Lepisosteus oculatus: one gene and its partner. The protein of the gene in region 1 binds, or shares a complex with, the protein of each later gene. Links are inferred from orthologs where the notes say so. Each region holds a gene or a part of one and is shown on either strand. Other genes may lie near its edges. The genes, in order: tubgcp6 and tubgcp5.

Region 1 (8,683 bases):
TTTGCTCTGTCCCATTCCTTCAGCCTGCTTCCCTGAAATGAACTTGAACTTGGACTTGAATCCAAGCTGTACAGTTTCAAAGTATACTTCCCAGATCCCTAATGGTTGTTTCACCTCTGCTTGGCTCCCTCTTCATTGCTTGAAAAGATGTACAGTACTCTTGTGAGAGCTGCGTCAAACTAAGACGGTTATTAACCATGTCATTTGGTTTCTGCTGCAGACAGTTCATCAGGATTTTCCCATTCTAATGGGGGGGAAGTTGAAGTCACCCATTAAAAACACTTCTTTTGCACATAAACTCTGATTTACATTACATAGCAATGAATTCTAATATCTGCATTTGGTGATCTGTAGCTGTTTTGTTTAACCAGTATGTCACCTCAGAGTATTGAAATTTTAGAAAAGTCACATGACAAGAATAAAAACTGAATTAAATGTTAATATTCATATTAGTTCTATGGATTAACCAAAGCGTTACACATCTGTTGTATACACGAGACTGTTCGAGTAAGAATCAAGTGTAGCGCAGGTTTACTTCTTCAAGTGTGACAGACACAAAATATGTGAAGGTGAACGAGACTGACCGAGCACAAGCCAGGATTAATGCCGGTGTGTTCCTTTGACCCTTTGAAAGCTGAGCACCCAATCTAACTACAAGAAGTATTTTGCAGTTTCTCCAGTTTGTTGAGAAAGGTCTGCAGCTGCTCAGTGCGTCTGTGTCCCTCGGCGCGTTAAAGCTGTATCCACATTTTCATCTGCCTCGCTCAGGGGCCACAAGCAGAAACTAGGTGGAGGTGGGAGGTCTATTTCTCCAAAGTGCCGGATAAACAGCTCTTAAAAACGAGAGAACACGGCCTTCTAACCAAGACTCCTAACAGGGTCCAAACCGTGAACCCGCGAGCTGACCAGCTGCCGTTATTGGATTCGCGCACCGGGCAGTGTGGCTACGTCACAACCGGCAGGGCGTGCCCTGTGACTGGCCCGTCACCCCTCTGCAGAATGACAGACAGGCACGCGTACGATCTGCCACACGCCCTCATCCTGTCAGGGTAGCTATGGATAACGGCTGCTATCGTTCATTCATTCAAAACGTCCGTAATTGACTGCCTGAACCCTCATCGTCACCCCCCGCCACTAAGACCAGCAGTGATGAAGTAACAACCCATTTTACATTAATTCCTGGCGTCCAGTACAGGACCACTGTGTTCTCAAATCTAATGACTCCACCAAAATGAAACTGAAAACGTGTTCTCAATTGACTAAAAATGATTATTTTCTCCCTCAAAAAACAGATTACCCTTTCCGACAACAGCATCAAAGAGGCTAAGGAATTTCTACGGCTGACGGCTCAACATCATCTTCCCTTTATAACTAACCTCATTAGATCTCTCAACTCTAAACTCGACCAGTTTCTCACTACAGAGAAGGATAAAAAACTCAGTCATCTTCTACAGAAGAAAACCATCAACACCCCAAACACCTTCACCAATCCTAACCTTGTTGTCACCATACCTTCTGACATTTCCCTTTCACAGGATGAGCGATCCCTCCTCAGCAAAGGGCTCAGTTTTGTACCAGTTCCCAGGAAGCTGGACATTCCCAGACCAATGTCGACCTTAACCGCTTTTACCGCAGGATCCGTCTCGGAGCACATTTTGCTGACGATTCCTCTTCACAGGCAGCTGATAACAACCCAGTTATTGATGTCATTAACAACATTAATCCCAAACAGAGCTGTTGGACTCCCCCCTCTGGCCGTTTTCCACCAGTCGATTATTTCATTAACCAATGCACCAATCAAGCTCCCAAGACACTCTCTATACCCAGTAAACACAGGTCCAACCTCACCCAAGGAGAAAATCAGGCGCTCCAGTCTCTCCACAAGAGGGATGATATCGTCATCAAACCAGCGGACAAAGGAGGCGCTGTTGTGGTGTGGCGTAAGGATCTATATATCTTTGAAGCCTCTAGACAACTAACTGACACTTCTGCCTACCTCCCTCTCCAACAGGACCCTACCACTGACTACCAGGAAGAAGTGGTATCCACCATCTCCCTTCTTATCGGCAGTAAGGAGCTCCCCCAGGAGAAGAACCGTTGAACCCCATTGAACATCCGCAGGTCTCAATTTGCCTCCTCCCCAAAATCCACAAACCAGACACCCCTGGACGCCCCATCGTATCAGCATGCAGCTGTCTGACTACTTGCATCTCGGCCTTTCTCGACAGCCTCATGAGACCGCTGGTTGAAGGTCTTCCCTCATACATCAAGGACACCAACCACGCGCACCAACTTTTTGATGATTTCCAATTTCAGGGCACCGAATGCTACATTTTTACCATGGACATCACATCTCTCTACACCGTCATTCCCCATAATGACGACCTTACAGCCTTCAAGCACACGCTGGACAAACGCACAGTGCTTGATCCACCCACCCACACCCTGGTACGCCTTGCGGAATTGGTCCTCACACTGAACGCATTCTCTTTCAATAATAAACAGGTGAGTGGAGTTGCCATGGGCACCAGAATGGGACCCAGCTACGCCAATATTTGTGTCTGCTTGGTAGAAGAACGCTTCTTCGCTTCCTACACTGGCTGTGGCATCTACAAGCGATATATTGATGACTGCGTCGGTGCTGCCACATGCTCTAACGACCAGCTTGAGTGCTTCCTGCATCATTTCACCAACTTCCACCCGTCCCTCAAATATACGGTTAACATCTTCCACTACTCTGCCGTTTCTAGACATCAACTTCTCCATCAACTACCCCCGACTCTGCACTTTTTATTTATTACAAACCCACGGATTCACACAGCTATCTCCTGTATAGCTAATTTCACCCCAGACACACTAAAAACTCTCTCCCTTTTTCACAGTTCCTTCGGCTACGACGATTGTGCAGCGACGACATCGACTTCCAGAACCAAGCCCTCGAAATGTGCTCCTTTCTTATCAACAGAGGATACCCCAGCAGTGTGATTGACAGGGCCCTTGCCCGAGCCAAAAACACTCCTTGGACCATCAACTCAATCAGGAACTCCCGCCGTAACAACCGCATTCCCTTGGTGCTTCCCTACCACCCCAACACACTTCCTATCCCCAGGACTATTAACATCAACTTCTCCATCCTACAGGATGATCCCTCCATTGGGCCCCTCTTTTCTGATCACCCTATCATCTCATATCGCTGAGCACCTAATCTGCGCAACCTTCTTGTTCACAGCTCCCTTGACCGCCCTCAGCAACCATCCACACCAGGCACTTTCCCTTGCAACAGAGCTCGCTGTATCACCTGCAAGTACACATCCACCACCACACTCATTCAAGGCCCCTCAGGACAATTCCGGATCACCCAGATGGCATCTTGTACCTCCAGCAACCTTATTTACTGTATCTCTTGCAGTAAATGCCCAGCCATCTACATTGGGGAAACAGGAAGGAGACTCGGAGACCGCTTCAGAGAACATCAGGGCTTTAAAGATTAAAGATCTCTCCAAGCCCATTGTTTCTCATTTCACCTCTTACGGCCACGACCACTCTAATCTCTCTGTCTGTGTTCTCAAAGGTGGTTTTCCGAACTCATACATCAGAAAGACTACAGAAAGCAAAATTATCCTGCAGCTAGGATCACACCTTCCCCCTTCTCTTAACGACAGACTACTTTTCTTCTAAATTCTCTCTATTCATTGGAGGTTTCATTTCACAACTCTCTACATCTATCCTGACTTCACACCTCCTGATTGGCCTCTCTTTCTGTCCCCTGCTCCCGCCCCTCAATTCAATTCAATTCAAGGTGCTTTATTAGCATGACCGATGGTTACAATCAGTGTTGCCAAAGCAAATAAAATACACATGGAACAAAAAAAATAAAAGTAAAAAAAAATCTACAGACATTTACAACAAAGACATATAAAATATTTTCATATACTGTAAACATGTTGAGCATTACTGGGAGACAGACTCACTGTTCCTCAGGCTGTGACAGGAGATCACATACTGGGCTGCCAGTTCAACTGAGTTCCCTCCTCCCTCTCCCAGTAGGATTGGGATCTGTTGTGATTCTAGCAGGTGTGGGAACTCTGGGATTAGATTTCTGAATTTAGGGAAGAATGTTTCTCTAATCCCAGAGAATCTGTCATAGTGCAGTAGGAAGTGCACCTCTGTCTCCATTTCTCCCTGCTGGCAGTGGGAGCACAGCCTGTCCTCTCTGGGCAGCCAGGTCTGCCTGTGTCGCCCAGTTTCTATGGCCAGGCTGTGGTCACTGAGCCTGTACTTCGTCAGGGTCTGTTTCTTTTTGCTGTTTCTTATCTTGGTCAAATATTCGGCTAGTGTGTATTGTCTGTTTAGGGTTCTGTAGCATTCCAGTTTATGTTGTGTGTGTGTCCCAGTGTGTGAGATATTGCTGTCTGATCTGTGCTGTGATGTGGTTGAGTCTGGGTTGTGGTGCTCTAGCAGTGCTGTCCTGAGGCTGGTTAGGGTTGGTGTGGCTCAGGTCGGTGAGACTCAGGACCAGCTGGCTCAGGGGGCTCTGTTTTGGGCTCAGCAGGGTTTTGTGGTGGTAGGAATTTTGGTCGCTGTTTTTTTAGGTGTAGCCAATACTTTAATACTCTTTTCTGTATGTTTATCAATAGTGGGTACTGGCCTAATTCGGCCCTGCACCCATTGTTAGGGGTTTTTCTCTGCACACGGCTCCTCTCTCAGCTTTTGTTCTCCCGCTACATTACCTTTGCTTACTGCCTTGTCTTTCTCACACCTGAAGAAGCCTTCACGGCCGAAACGTTGTGTTTTCTTTCTCCCTTCTTTTCAGCATGGAATAAACCTACTACTTGTTCCTAAAAAAAGATTATTGCGAATCTGAACGACTGCTTTAATTTGTGAATACCTGTCCCTGCTAACACTAATTAATTCCTCAACGCTAAAACCAGTGACTGACAGCAGCTGGTAGAGAGGTTGCTCTTGCTATGCAAACACATAGGATTTTTGTTTTTTGCAGAAGTGGCGGAGGCGGGTTAACTTATAACTGTCACTGCGGGGGAAATGGTTGCGAAAGTAGCCTGGCCATTGAAGTGGCGGGAGGCCAAAGATCAGCCAATAGGAATACGGGATACGGGAAGAGTGACAGCGCTTTCCCGTCCAATGAGAACGCAGAAAAGAGAGCGGAAATTGCTGAAAAAACCCAAACCTGGCGTCATCATTTATTACCCAATCGAACATCGGCCTCATTCGCTTCAGACCAATGAAGTCTCAGAGTGGGCGGGCCAAGTGGAGGCTGAGCGGTAGTTAAGGAAAATAAAGTGATAGGGATTGTGGATACAGTTGTCTGTATTAATAAATGTGTTGTTGTTTTTTTTTTGCCTTCCATAAAACAGCTTAAAGGTTAATGAAATGAGGAGATCAGTTAAATTATAATAGCTGTGCCCGGTCTCGTCTCAATGTTAATCCACACTGGGACCTTGATTGGTAAAATAGTAACCAAAATCGGAGCATCGTAGCACTACAGCAGGTATGATTCAATGGGTTCCGTTAATGCATCTCAACGATTGTTCAGGTTAAGTGATTGTGATCAATGTATCGTTCATTTAACGATTTCCGCTTTCGCATATTCGCTTCTCGGCCTTTTGGCTAAGATCGAGTGTAATGTATCGTTCATTTGGCGCAAAAGATGATGTGCTGATTGATACCTTGATGTTGAGTGCCCTTGCAGTGAGTATCGGATCTTGGTAGGTATCGGTGTTCGTGCTCTTGTGTCATAGATTTATCGCTTCTTTCTGGCGCGATTTCTTAGAAATTACTAGAACATCTTTTGTGTTAACACTACAGAATTCAGGTTCAGATTTAAGGCTCCAAAAGCAAAGAATTGGATTTAGCCGGCATCATCAGAATGTACTGCTGCCCGGGACAGAAAACGGCAACAGTACCCTACTTGCACGGACTTGTTGGTGCGCATACATCACCAGAGGGTATACGAGAGAACAGATACGTTTTGGGAAACCTGGGTAAATTGCCATTGTTTTCTAGTCATTATATACATTTTCCCCTCACAATCGTGTAATTGAACAAAGACGTTAAAATTATTTCCTTTGAACTCAGGAAACCCGTTTTTAAACATGCAAACATTGTAACTTTTAGAGTGATCTTATGAAACGCAGTCAGGACACATCAGGTGCCTCAGAACCGTGGGGAATAAAATATCTGTAATGCACCCAAAGTGCAGTGTGCTTTTCAGAAACCAGTTAGTGGTCACATAAGAGTTTCTGTCGTTCGTGAAGTCTCTAGGCCTGATGTAGTGTGTGTGTGTATGTAGTGTCATTTCACAGCAGTGCAGCATGTTTCTTCCAATTCAGGGTGACAGTGGAGCTGGAGACTGTCCCAGTCGAACAGCAAGCAACAGGCACAAGACAGGATACACCCTGGACAGGACACCAGTCCATCACAGGGCACCCACAGACTCAGACACACACTCACTTACTCTAGGGACGCTTTTCTCAAAAGCCAATTAACCCTCCAGCATGTCCTTAGACTGTGGGAGGAAGCTGGAGCACCCAGAGGAAACCTTTGTGAACACAGGGAGAACATACAAGCTCCACACAGACGGCACCCCAGAAACTGAGCCCAGGGCCAATGCTAACTGCCCTGCCACCTGCTTTACATACCCTGCGTGACTAGTGCGCTATATTGAGAAGCGATTATCCACCAGAAGACCAGAGTCTGAAGCGCTCTTTTGGAGCACCATGTAGAAGCTCTGGGCTTTGGCATGCGCGACAGCACCCCTGTGAACCCCGCTGGTTTAGCGCCTGTCCTTGTTTCTGCAGGTGCGTTGTGCCTGCGCTGCCCCCTGCAGGCCGGGAGTGCGTCACCGCGGCCGCCAGCCCAGCGGGAGGGAGCGCCATGGCCGGCGTCTCCGGCGGCAGCTGCAGCATCACGGAGCTGCTGGGCGCCCTGTGCGACGCCCACCTGGCGGGAGGGGCGTGCAAGCCGCGCGCGTGGCGGGGGGGCCGCGAGGCAGCGCGGCGGGCCCTGCGGCGGCGCGCCTACGGGGCCCTGCTGTCCCGCCTCTTCCGAGAGCCCCCCCCCGGCGGCGGCGGGGCCCCGCGCCGCCCCCCGCCCCCGCCCGCCACGCCCCCCCGGAACAAGGTGCTGATGCTGGCGTTCGACCTGCGCGTGGCGGGCTGCTGCCAGGAGGCCGCGCAGCTGGAGGAGCTGCTGGGGCGGCTGGGGGGGGCGCCGGGGGGGCTGGACTCCGTGCTGGAGCTCCTGGTCCAGCTGGCGGGCTCCGCGCCCCCCCCCGCCCCCTCCTACAGCCGCGACTTCATGCGGAGGGAGAGGCCCGTGCTGCGGCGCCCCCCGCTGGCCGGCTACGATAGTGCCGAGCTGTGGCGGCTGGAAGCAGAGGCCTGGGCCCTGGTGTGTGGGGAGGAGTGGGGGGCCCTGGGGGGTCTCTGCACCACCCTGGGCCTGATGGAGGCGCCCCCCGGCACGGGCACGGGCCTGCTGGCGCTGGGCAGGGCGGGGGAGGGCAGGGAGCGTTACGAGAAGGAGACGCGCCTCTCGCTGTTTGGAGCCCTGCAGCACACCCGGACCTCTGACATGGAGATCCGTCTGGACCTGCCCCCGGTGCCCAGCAACGCCGAGCTCACGGGGCTGGCCATCCGGGTGAGAGCTCCGCTGGGCGCGCCGCGGCCCGTCGTCTCGCGCGCGTGCGGATCGGCCCGTCTGACCCGTTCTCCGCTGCTCCCACCCCACCCCAGGTCCCCCCGAGTCTTGACCAGTCCGAGGACGAGGGGTTCCAGTCTGCCTCAAACCTGACGCCAGATTCGCAGTCCGAGCCGAGCCCCAGCCCGGAGCCGGACGTGTGGGAGGCGCTGCGGAGTTTCGAGCCGGGCCGCCGGCGCTGCTGGGAGGGGATCGGCTGGTAAGGGGGGGGGCAGAGAGGGCAGATACCCCAGTGAGGGCAGTACAGGGCAGGAGAGGGGAAGGCCTTTTGCACTGAGGGCAACGAGACTCAGACGCAGAGGAGTGCGGAAGGTGAAAGAAGGGCGTTAGTGCAGATGTCTATAGGGCGTCCTAGCTCCAGAAGGGGATGGCGGAGATGGTGTTTGTGCTCGCAGCAGTCTGGGGAGGGAGTTAAGCAGTGGGAGCTGAGACTCTGTGGGATGTTGGCGAGGGGCTGACGTGAGATCTGCTAGGTTTCAGGAGGGACAAGGCCACAGGAGAAGGGCTGACTGGACGGACTGGAGTGGGCTAGCTGAGTTTGTAACCTGGTGGGTTCTGTGGTACACCAGGCAGTTGTTGTGATGCACATTTCTTCTGTTCACCTCTCCCACCACTCTTTGTCCCTGCCTTTCCTCCTCTTTGTGCACGTGTCTTTCTGCCTTTCTCCCTGTCCAGCCCCCCCGGGAGGAAGGAGCTGCCCTACCTGTCGGAAGCCGGACGGGAGGCGTTCGACCAGCTGTACCAGCTGCGGGAGGGGGGTCTGCAGCTCCTGAGCACTGCGGCTGCCCTGCCGCCCTCCCCTCTGCCCCTTCACACCCAGACCCAGCTGGTCACCGACGTGCTCAACGTCCTGATCGGAGTGGCTTCCACAACCTTCCCCCTCGACCAGGTACCGTGTGTGTCTGTGTGTCTCCGGGACTCTGGGGCTTGTCTGTCTGTCTGTCTCTCTGTGTCTCTCCGGGAC
Region 2 (8,907 bases), on another chromosome or scaffold:
GCCGTGTCATGGTTAGGACACAGCTGCCCAGAGAAAAATCTCAAGTAATCAGATATAATTTTAAGAATGCATAGAAAAAAATACAATAGCATCATGTATTAAAAGATGGTTTCAATTTGTGTCATCAGTATAGCTAGATTATTTCCCTCATGATATTAATATGGTCAAAATATGATATGATCAAACTATCCAACCCTACCAAGAAGTCTAAAACTTCCAACTTCCAAAGCTGAAAGGGGAACCAGAAATATTTAGCATTTCTTTTTGCTGTAATAAAATCATTGGATTGTGTTCCTACTCAGTTCAAACAGATTATTATTTTGGATGAGTAGTTGAGAGATTTTTTATTCTTTAAATTGTGATTTACAATTCTTAATTCTTGCAAATAACTTCTGAATTTATAACTTACAATTAAGCCGATACTATTAAATGAATATTAGATCAAATTACAGTTAAAGACAGGGCAGCTATCACTGGTAACACAATAGCAACGTCTGGATGTTCTAACACAATGTATTCATTGTGTATTTATTGGCGAAACGACATATTAATACTGTACCTTTGTTCACATTTTCGTTCGCCTCTATGTTTTGTCCACGTTTGTTTTCTGATACCCCAGCTTACGCATGACCTCGCCGCAATATTTCTCGACTTGAGCGACCTGTTCAACGCTTAACCTCTCTCTCCAAGCGTAAATGGCTTCCTTGGCATCCCTTGACGAAATAAGAAAGGGCCTGTCCGAAGAGTAACCCTCGCCATGGGTCATGTTTATCACGAACTTTTCAATGGCTGGCGAAGAGGTCAGATTGGAGAAACTGTACAGCCTCTTCAGTTCCCGCACTGGGTGTAACACAAGGTCCTCGTAGCGCAGGTGAAGGTAGTTCCTTCTTACCCATTGGGGTGCGTTCATGATGTGCAATATGTCGTTGAGCCAGTTATCGCATATCACCTCCATAGCGGTAGATACATAATTCTCCACTCGCGTGGACCTGTTGGGTATGAGAAGGCGCCTGTATTTTTCCGTCTGTTTCCTGCTTCTCAGCACTTGAATGCTTTCTTTCACCAGTGCCTGTTTAGATTTCAATCTGGAATTGTGGACCGCCCGGGGGTCTCTGAACAGCTGAATCACCTGGAGGTTCAGCCCGGGGTCCCTAATCAAAGGAACCAGGACACCAAGATCCAGGACCCGCACGTCTTTTATGACAACAACGGGATACTTCTTGCACTCTCTCTCTAATTCCCTGATGTCTTTAGGTTGGCACTTGCCGCAGACCTCTCCGTTTATCAGCCCAACGTCGTCTCTCCTGTGAGCACTGCACAGAGGCTCGGAGCAGATCACCTTGTTCGTCTTCCATCCGAAGATAAATGAGGTAGTGAGGTTTTTGTTGCCCGTGTAGAGTTTTAAAACGGAGAAATCGCAGCGGTAGAGGGAGTTCATCATGTCCCTCACCGCTCCTTGGAGACTCCCTGCATCACCCGGGTACAGGGTCTGCCACATATTCCACATGGGTTCATACAAATAAAACACATCAGGATGCTGGTTAAATAACTCCCCTAAAAAAGATGAGCCTGTTCTCCAAGTTGCATGAAGATAAATGTGTGTTTTCGTTTGGCTCCTATTGATAAAATTTTCCACCGTCTCAGATTCGTTGCTGGATTTATCTCCAATATTCCATAACTCCATTGTGGTTTCCAAATCGGGGCATTTTGATAGTGGCAGTTCATTCCGGACCTGAGCTCTTCTATTTCTGTATTCCAACACATAAGGAATGAACAGGAGCAATACGGAGTACACTATAATTAATATGAGATATTTCTTCTGTAGCCTCCTCTTCATTTCCTCAGCGACCGAAGCGCTTAGCGCACTCCTACTGATTTAGCACCCCTACATGAAGCCTGACTCCGGCTTTAGACAAACTTTGAGTTAGAAAAAAAACCGGTATTGTCAATCGCCTCTGAACACGCCCACTGCATTTCAAAATAAGAGCCGATAGTCACGTGTGTCCCCTTTTCGCAAACTATCCATTTTCATTAGAATGGAACTGTATTTTTCCACAAATGTACAAAACGACATAAAAAGAAACTGTCACGGGGAAAATAGCATGTTTTCAGCTACGGGCAGACTTTTGAAATACATGCAATTAAGAAATGTCCGTTTTGAGTTACTTGCCAATAAAAGTCGATGTATTACTAAATCGAGTTAAAACTAAAAAAAATGTTAAAACTATGGAAATCGCTTGAATGAATAAAGTTTGCAGCTGTGTACTTTTCCCTCAAAATTGTTATTGTAATTTACTGCCATCAAGCATTTTGTGACAAATGAAAAGGTTGTGTTTCTGTGTAAGCTACAGAGCTGCACTTATAAAGACATCTATTTCTGAGTGTTGGGTACAATATGCAGGAAACTACGCAAGATTTATAGACTTATTTCTCTTCTTTGTGCAGCATGGCGCTGTAATAAGGTTAACCTGGCATTTTCTTACAGCTGCATCGAAGTGTTTGGGAGCATGGACAACCATCGACAGGACTGTTCACTGAACTTCCAACCTCGGCCAAGTTTCAGTGGTGTAAGCGAAACTTAAATTCCAAAATCCATTTCACATTTGACCAAAGCCCCGTTTAAACAATAGAGTAAGACGTAAACAGCTTAAAACACTGTAAAATCTATTTAGTGTGCAGCCATGCCAATTTATGTGACAAAACCTTGATAAAGCACACAGCTGTCAGAAAAACTGCTCCGAATTCATTCAGATATATCACTTACTCTGGCACAACATTTTAATTACCCTACTGGAGATGTAGCAGATGCACTGTTCTTGGAGAAAAATGCTGTCTTCCTCTGCAAATATACATTTGGACACCCCAACAGATTAGCACCTTGTCAACTAACAAACATTTTTCCACATATTTAATCCAATTAAATGAGAGATTTGTAGGCTCGTGTATTTTCTTTAAGTATTCTAAACTAGCTGTATATATGGTACAATATTCCCCCTTGACCTTGTGTGCTTACAAAAACGTTTGATCTTTTAATACAGAATTACCAGAGTTACATTAAACGGGACTTTAAAAAAAAACAATTTTTAGTTTTAATAAGAAACATGTATCTGAAGCACTGAACTCAAAATGTTCTTGTTGAATGCGCATATTGTACATATCTTCAAATTCGCATTGTCTTCATCTTGTTGCCTTTGTACTATAGTAAATTAGCAATAGCAATAAACAGTGAAGTTACTGATGCTGTTTGTTCTACTTTCTAAACATGACCTTTTCTCACAGAATATTACATGTACTGTAGATAAAGAGCACAAGGGGTAGATATGGAAGCTCAATTTTCTAACTGGCTAAGGTATGCCTAAAACCAGAATTTCAACCCACATATCATTGGAAATAGATAAATATGTCCTGTTTTCGTAGTTTCCTGTTCTACCAGGGTATCTACACAAAGGAATGCCACCATCACATGCTTCATTTGGAGATGATTTTGGAGTTTCAATTCACTTTCATATGAAGGAATTTTATTTTTCTATGCTGAAGTCTTGAAGGTGCCATATAATGTGTTTGCAAAACAATAGTTACTTAGTTTTTTTAAACGCTTAAAATGTATAATGACAAAATACAGAAGTAAACAACAAGAGATTGTAGGCATTGCTATAAAAATCAGAAAATAGTCATATACTGTCGATATCACGTGTAATCACATTATATATTTTATCTCAAAAATGCAACGTGCTTCGTGTTATATCTCCGATTTGGAAACATCATCTTTTATAAGATAAGATAACTTTATTGGCCATATACAATTTCTTGTATTAGGAATTTGTCTTTTCACATACCCCAGCTTGCGCTCCGTGAGACACACAGACAGAGAGAGAAGCTTGAGGTCAGAGCACAGGGTCATCCATTTATATGGCGCCCCTGGAGCAGTTGGGGTGAAAGGCCTTGCTCACGAGCCCAACGGAGTAGGATTTCTCTACCGGCCGCGGGATACGAACCGGCAACCTTCCAGCCACAGGCACAGATCCTTGCAGATGGCCCAGATTAAACCCAGACGTCACTTCAGAGTGTCATTTGTATGGAAATAGGATTTTAGGGAGTAGTCTGTGTAGCTTTTCAATAGACAGGCCTTACTTGACTAATGTGTTAGGTTTATGTGTAAAAACAACAGGAACATACAGAGCATATGAGACAGTATATTTACATTTTCAGGAAGCCTTTACTCACAAAATTGCTTTTGGTAGGCATTCAGGGTAATGTGTATGATTAGAGTGAAAATTGTTTAATGAATAGAAAACTAAGAATAAAGATAAGAGCTGAATACTCCAACTGAGGAATGTAATTAGCCTGTGGTGATCTATTTAAGGATCTGTCGTCTTTCTAATTTATATCAACAACCTAGATTCTGGTGAAGTTCTAGTTATTTAGCTAGTCAGGTTTGCAAAACCAAATTAGAACAAGCCGCAAACCCTGTAAAAGTAAAGAAAAGTCTGGACTGGGCTCACACTAGGAAGATGATATCTAATATAGACAAGTGCAGAGAGATACATGCAATGAAAAGAACCATAAACTGTACATGTGAGATGGGGAGCAACCTGCAGAAGCTGTGAAAAAGCCTTAGGTGTCTCTGCTAACACATGCTTTATGTTTTCTAGACAAGGAAATGATAAAAAAAAACAAAGAGACGTTTAGATTACTTAGTTAAAAGTGTAAGATTTAAATTGAGGGATGTTATATTAAAATTGGAAAATGCACTGAATGTAAGATCATAATTTAGAAGACTGTATAAAGTTTTGGTAACTCTGTTACAAAAGAGATATTTATGTTTTGGAACCAGCTCTGAAAAGAGCCACCAGATTCCTTTTTCAGGCTTAAAGAAATGGCCGTGGCTGACAGGCTAAAGGATCTGCGTCTTGTCATTCCAGAGAAGACTAGAATTCTATTTTCTGGAAGTCTTAAAAATGATCATGAAGCAGAATACAAATACAAAATGAAGAAAAAAAAACACTTTAAAATTTGGAAATAACAGAAAAGGGCGTAAAATACACAATATGGCTAAAGAATATACATAACATGTCCTTATTTGGTAAGAATCAAAATTACACTTAAGATTTTGCTTTATGTTTCTCAGGTCTCTGCTTGTAAAGAAGTCGACGTCTACACGTGCTGTTTCTAGTCTTCGCTTTTCCAGGGAAAGTAACTGCTCGGCCAACAGAAACACAGAGGAGGGAGGTTCGGTTGGTAGGAGCCGCTGTACACAGCAGTGATGGCGGAGTCAAAACAATTCTGTATTCAACAGAGAAGTAGCCTTTGTATGATACATAATTAAAAATAAACAGTTAAATAAGAACAAATCGTTTATAGCCGATATCGGGATATTTAACTGTTGCATGCTTTTAAGCGAAGGATGCTGTACATCTAAGCTACGCAAAGCAAAAACAAGCGATTTCTGATAGTGTGATTGAACACAGTTCGTACTCGTATTTATTGTAAGCAATAATTTCGAGTTGGATGTATCGTCTCATGTAGTTTATGGTTTTAAGCTGTATTGGTTGTGCTCAACTCAAAGCCTATCCCTTCTGCATACTTTGACCACACATACGAGAGAGTCCGGATGATCGTGCCTAACGTTTACAGTAGAGTAGTATATATAGTCTGTATAGTATAGTCTATAACTATAGAAACTGGCACCGGAGGTCCCTTACTTAGCATCACAATGGCTCACTGGACGAAATTTGAAAAAGATTTGGAAATCGATACGAAGAGGCTAATAAAGCTCATCAGTGGGATACAGGATGAAGAAGACCAGAATTTCCAGATGGCATTAAAGTTTGCCTGGACCAATTTCAGGTGAGGGTTTCATGAGTGATCCCAAGGCTCGGGCCTGAATTCACATGGCAGAGGAATGTATTTGCTGCAGTCTTCATTCTCAAAGGCTGGCTTTGTCACTGACAGTACGTTTGTGAGAGGGACTAAAAGATCCGTCTTCACATTGAGTTGTAGTTCTTTTGCCATATATGAACCAAGACACTGACAAAAGCATTGTTATGTGTTTAAATTTGCAGGTTCCATCGATACTTAGATGTCAACAGTCACAAGGTGCAGCGTACAATCAGTGGGTAAGTTCAGTCGATCAAGCAGATTAAATATTCTTCTTTCTGAGGAGATTCTGAAGATCAAGACAAAGCGCCTACAAGAATGTGACACTTTTTTCCTTTTTGTTTCAGAATCCATGAAAAGCTAATAATTCACTCAGATCTGAGCAAAGCTACAAGCTGGAAACGACTGACTGAAGAATTTCTGAATGCACATCTTCCAAACACAGAAGGAACAAAAGTGATAGATTGTTATACATCTTGTGAACTAAACAGCTTGTTTCTAAGATTTAAGATTTAAGATGTGATAAGATTTATTGTCCATTGAGGGAATTTGTTTGTGGACATCAACAACAACAAAATTGAGCATCACTCTATTGCACATTTATAACACATAATAACATATAACATATATAACATTACAAAACATGTTGCACACAAGTGGATTGTAACGATAAAACAATGTTTATCCTTGCCATTTGCATTGACAGCTTTAATGGAAAGTGGAACAAAGGAATGTTTGTATCTGTTTGACTTACATTTGAGAACCCTAAAACGTTGTTGAAATGCGCTAAACTAAAAACAAGAAAATTAAAAAAGCATTTTTTCTCTTTTTTTTTTGCAGACAGAAACCCATCACAGTATCCTAGCTCTCCTACTCTATCTTTCTGATTCTCCTTCCAACACAGATTACACTGAGAGGCCACGGCTGAAGGATGCTGGTAAGTTAATGGACATTAACATAGCCACAATGAGTAACTGGTGTTCACACAACACAAACTTTGTGTTTTGTGGCCTTTTTATTATCTCTGTATTTTCCGTAATAATATATCTTAATACCCAGTATACTACTGGAATAAAGATGAAGCATCAGCACACAATTAACTCTATAAAACATGATAGGTGTTATTCATCTGGCAGAATGTTGCAATAATTGAGTCGTCAGTTTAATTCTGTGCCAAATGTTAATCTAACACCTGTGAATATGGTGCTTTCTATGATAGTCTTAGTTGCTGTATCTTAGATTTGGCATTTTGACTATCCTAATACACACCTTTGAGAGACAAATTCCCATGAGCCATTACAATGAAGAAGTGTGCACAAATAATACAGTACATTTATCATCTGCATGTCACTAATTGATTTCCCCAAAGCATGCTGTCTCATTCTGACTCAGCATATTACCTAGACTTTTTGGAGTTGTTTGTTTGTCTGGGGGAACTATGAGCACTAACAATAACAGAGGCTCTTCTGAGATGCACAGCAAAGTAAACAACGGTAACATTTACATAATAAGAACACCTCCTGTAAGATTCATTGTTCTGACAATGAAGGTTTTGTTTTAAACAGCAGTACCAAAAGCGCAACTAATTCCAAAAATCTTTGAATAATTTGGAGCTCCTGATTCCAATATTCAGGATTTAAATGTTTGTTTGAAATGCATGCCAGTTTTGAATTTTTAAAAACTTTGGATGGAGATAGTACCCATCTCCAGGCAGCAGTGTGGAGTAGTGATTATGGTTATGGACTCCTTACTGCAATGTTTTGGGTTGAAAGGTCAGCTGCTTTTGTGCGCTTGAGCATGGAATTTCAGATCACTTCAGTGAAATCCCCAGCCGTACAAATGTAAGTTACTTTGGACATAGCGTGTGTTAAAAAATACGTTAATCTCTGGGATACATTTCATGAACTCTCCTGTGGCTTCATATTACCATTTACAGAGTGAGCATTCTCCTGAAGAAATAAAATCTTCTGAATCTTTAATCTGCACTCCCAGTTGTTTGAAATAAACCTTAAGATCTGTCAAATGTCAGAGCTGCTATTTCATTTTCACATTTTCTGTTTCATATTGCTTTCTGATTTTTGATAAAACATTCGAATTTATTTTATTTTTTCAAGAAAAAGAAGACAATTTTGACTGGGGTAAATATTTGATGGAAGGAGAAGATATTGACATGGGCCCTTTTCCAGACACTCCTGTAAGTGAAAGGATACTAGTTTTCTTAAATCCTTACTGCCTTATTCAATAGCTGGCTTGCACTATTCATTACTGAAAATACTTTCTTGCAGAACTTATAGGAATGTTTCTCAAACCGATCAAGCTTCAGCTAATGTCAAAAGTATTTATGCTGTTAAAAGGTACAAAGAAAATACTTTCAATAATTTCCAATTATTTTTCATGAAAGGCAAGAATTAAAGTTAGGTTTCATTTTAATGCAGGAATTTCTGCAAAAAAAAAAGATTTTATTCTATAGTCCTGCCACCTCTTTCCCTAGACTTCAATCCCATTGAGATTCGGTGGGTTGACTTGTAGGCTGGTATCAAAAAGAAGAAGTCAAAACTGCCTGCAAAATTCAAAGCTAAATCTCTTGAAGACGCACAAGACTATTTTAAAGATAGAAAAACACTGCAGGCTATAAAGAAATATTTATGAACTATGAATGTATTACAGTATGTAATATTTTATTTTTGTATGATGAAGCTGAGTTTCTTTGTCTTCCAATATTACTCATGTTCTATTCCTTAACAGACTGGGACTTTAGTCTATATAAATAATTGACAAAAACACACTTCTGCTTTACTAATTTTTATTCAGTCAAATGTTACAGAGTGGGTTGTTCCCCATGCATTGAAAGTACATGGTTAATAAAAAGTGTTTACAATTCATTTAAACTTTTTTCTAACATTCAGTTTTCTAAGTATTAAGTTTTTTAACAGTCCAAGGTACATTTCCTTTGCGAGAAGTATCTCTTTCTAGGAGCTCCTTTTTTCAAAATCCAAATAAACCCAGGACTAAATGTCAAAGTGGATCTAA

Evidence for each region.
Region 2: the proteins of tubgcp6 (region 1) and tubgcp5 are in contact, whole or in part, in a cryo-EM structure (PDB 7QJE), measured with the Homo sapiens proteins. The link is inferred for Lepisosteus oculatus from reciprocal best matches to the Homo sapiens genes TUBGCP6 and TUBGCP5. Residues at the interface, in NP_065194.3 of Homo sapiens: Glu290, Ala291, Ser292, Lys293, Arg294, Arg295, Cys296, Trp297, Glu298, Arg299, Val300, Gly301, Cys302, Pro303, Pro304, His306, Arg307, Glu308, Glu309, Pro310, Tyr311, Leu312, Glu314, Lys322, Arg325, Leu326; in NP_443135.3 of Homo sapiens: Asp211, Asp212, Arg213, Trp215, Leu216, His219, Val220, Val221, His222, Trp225, Ser230, Phe232, Pro233, His234, Leu238, His239, Ser240, Asn241, Leu242, Leu264, Val265, Thr266, Glu267, Thr268, Gln269, Arg272, Val302, Thr303, His304, Leu305.

What each region holds. Positions count from the first base shown.
Region 1 is NC_090702.1:48,760,270-48,768,952, forward strand, and holds the start of tubgcp6 (gamma-tubulin complex component 6), read left to right. Parts: upstream 1-5,274; 5' UTR 5,275-5,509; intron 5,510-5,528; exon of another isoform or gene 5,529-5,726; intron 5,727-5,826; 5' UTR 5,827-6,002; intron 6,003-6,818; 5' UTR 6,819-6,894; coding exon 6,895-7,659; intron 7,660-7,754; coding exon 7,755-7,918; intron 7,919-8,394; coding exon 8,395-8,608; intron 8,609-8,683. UniProt on the Homo sapiens protein: Component of the gamma-tubulin ring complex (gTuRC) which mediates microtubule nucleation.
Region 2 is NC_090710.1:22,064,248-22,073,154, forward strand, and holds the start of tubgcp5 (gamma-tubulin complex component 5), read left to right. Parts: upstream 1-5,209; 5' UTR 5,210-5,713; coding exon 5,714-5,847; intron 5,848-6,062; coding exon 6,063-6,116; intron 6,117-6,224; coding exon 6,225-6,333; intron 6,334-6,717; coding exon 6,718-6,814; intron 6,815-7,991; coding exon 7,992-8,071; intron 8,072-8,907. Other genes in the region: chst7 (carbohydrate sulfotransferase 7), read right to left, coding at 584-1,837. UniProt on the Homo sapiens protein: Component of the gamma-tubulin ring complex (gTuRC) which mediates microtubule nucleation.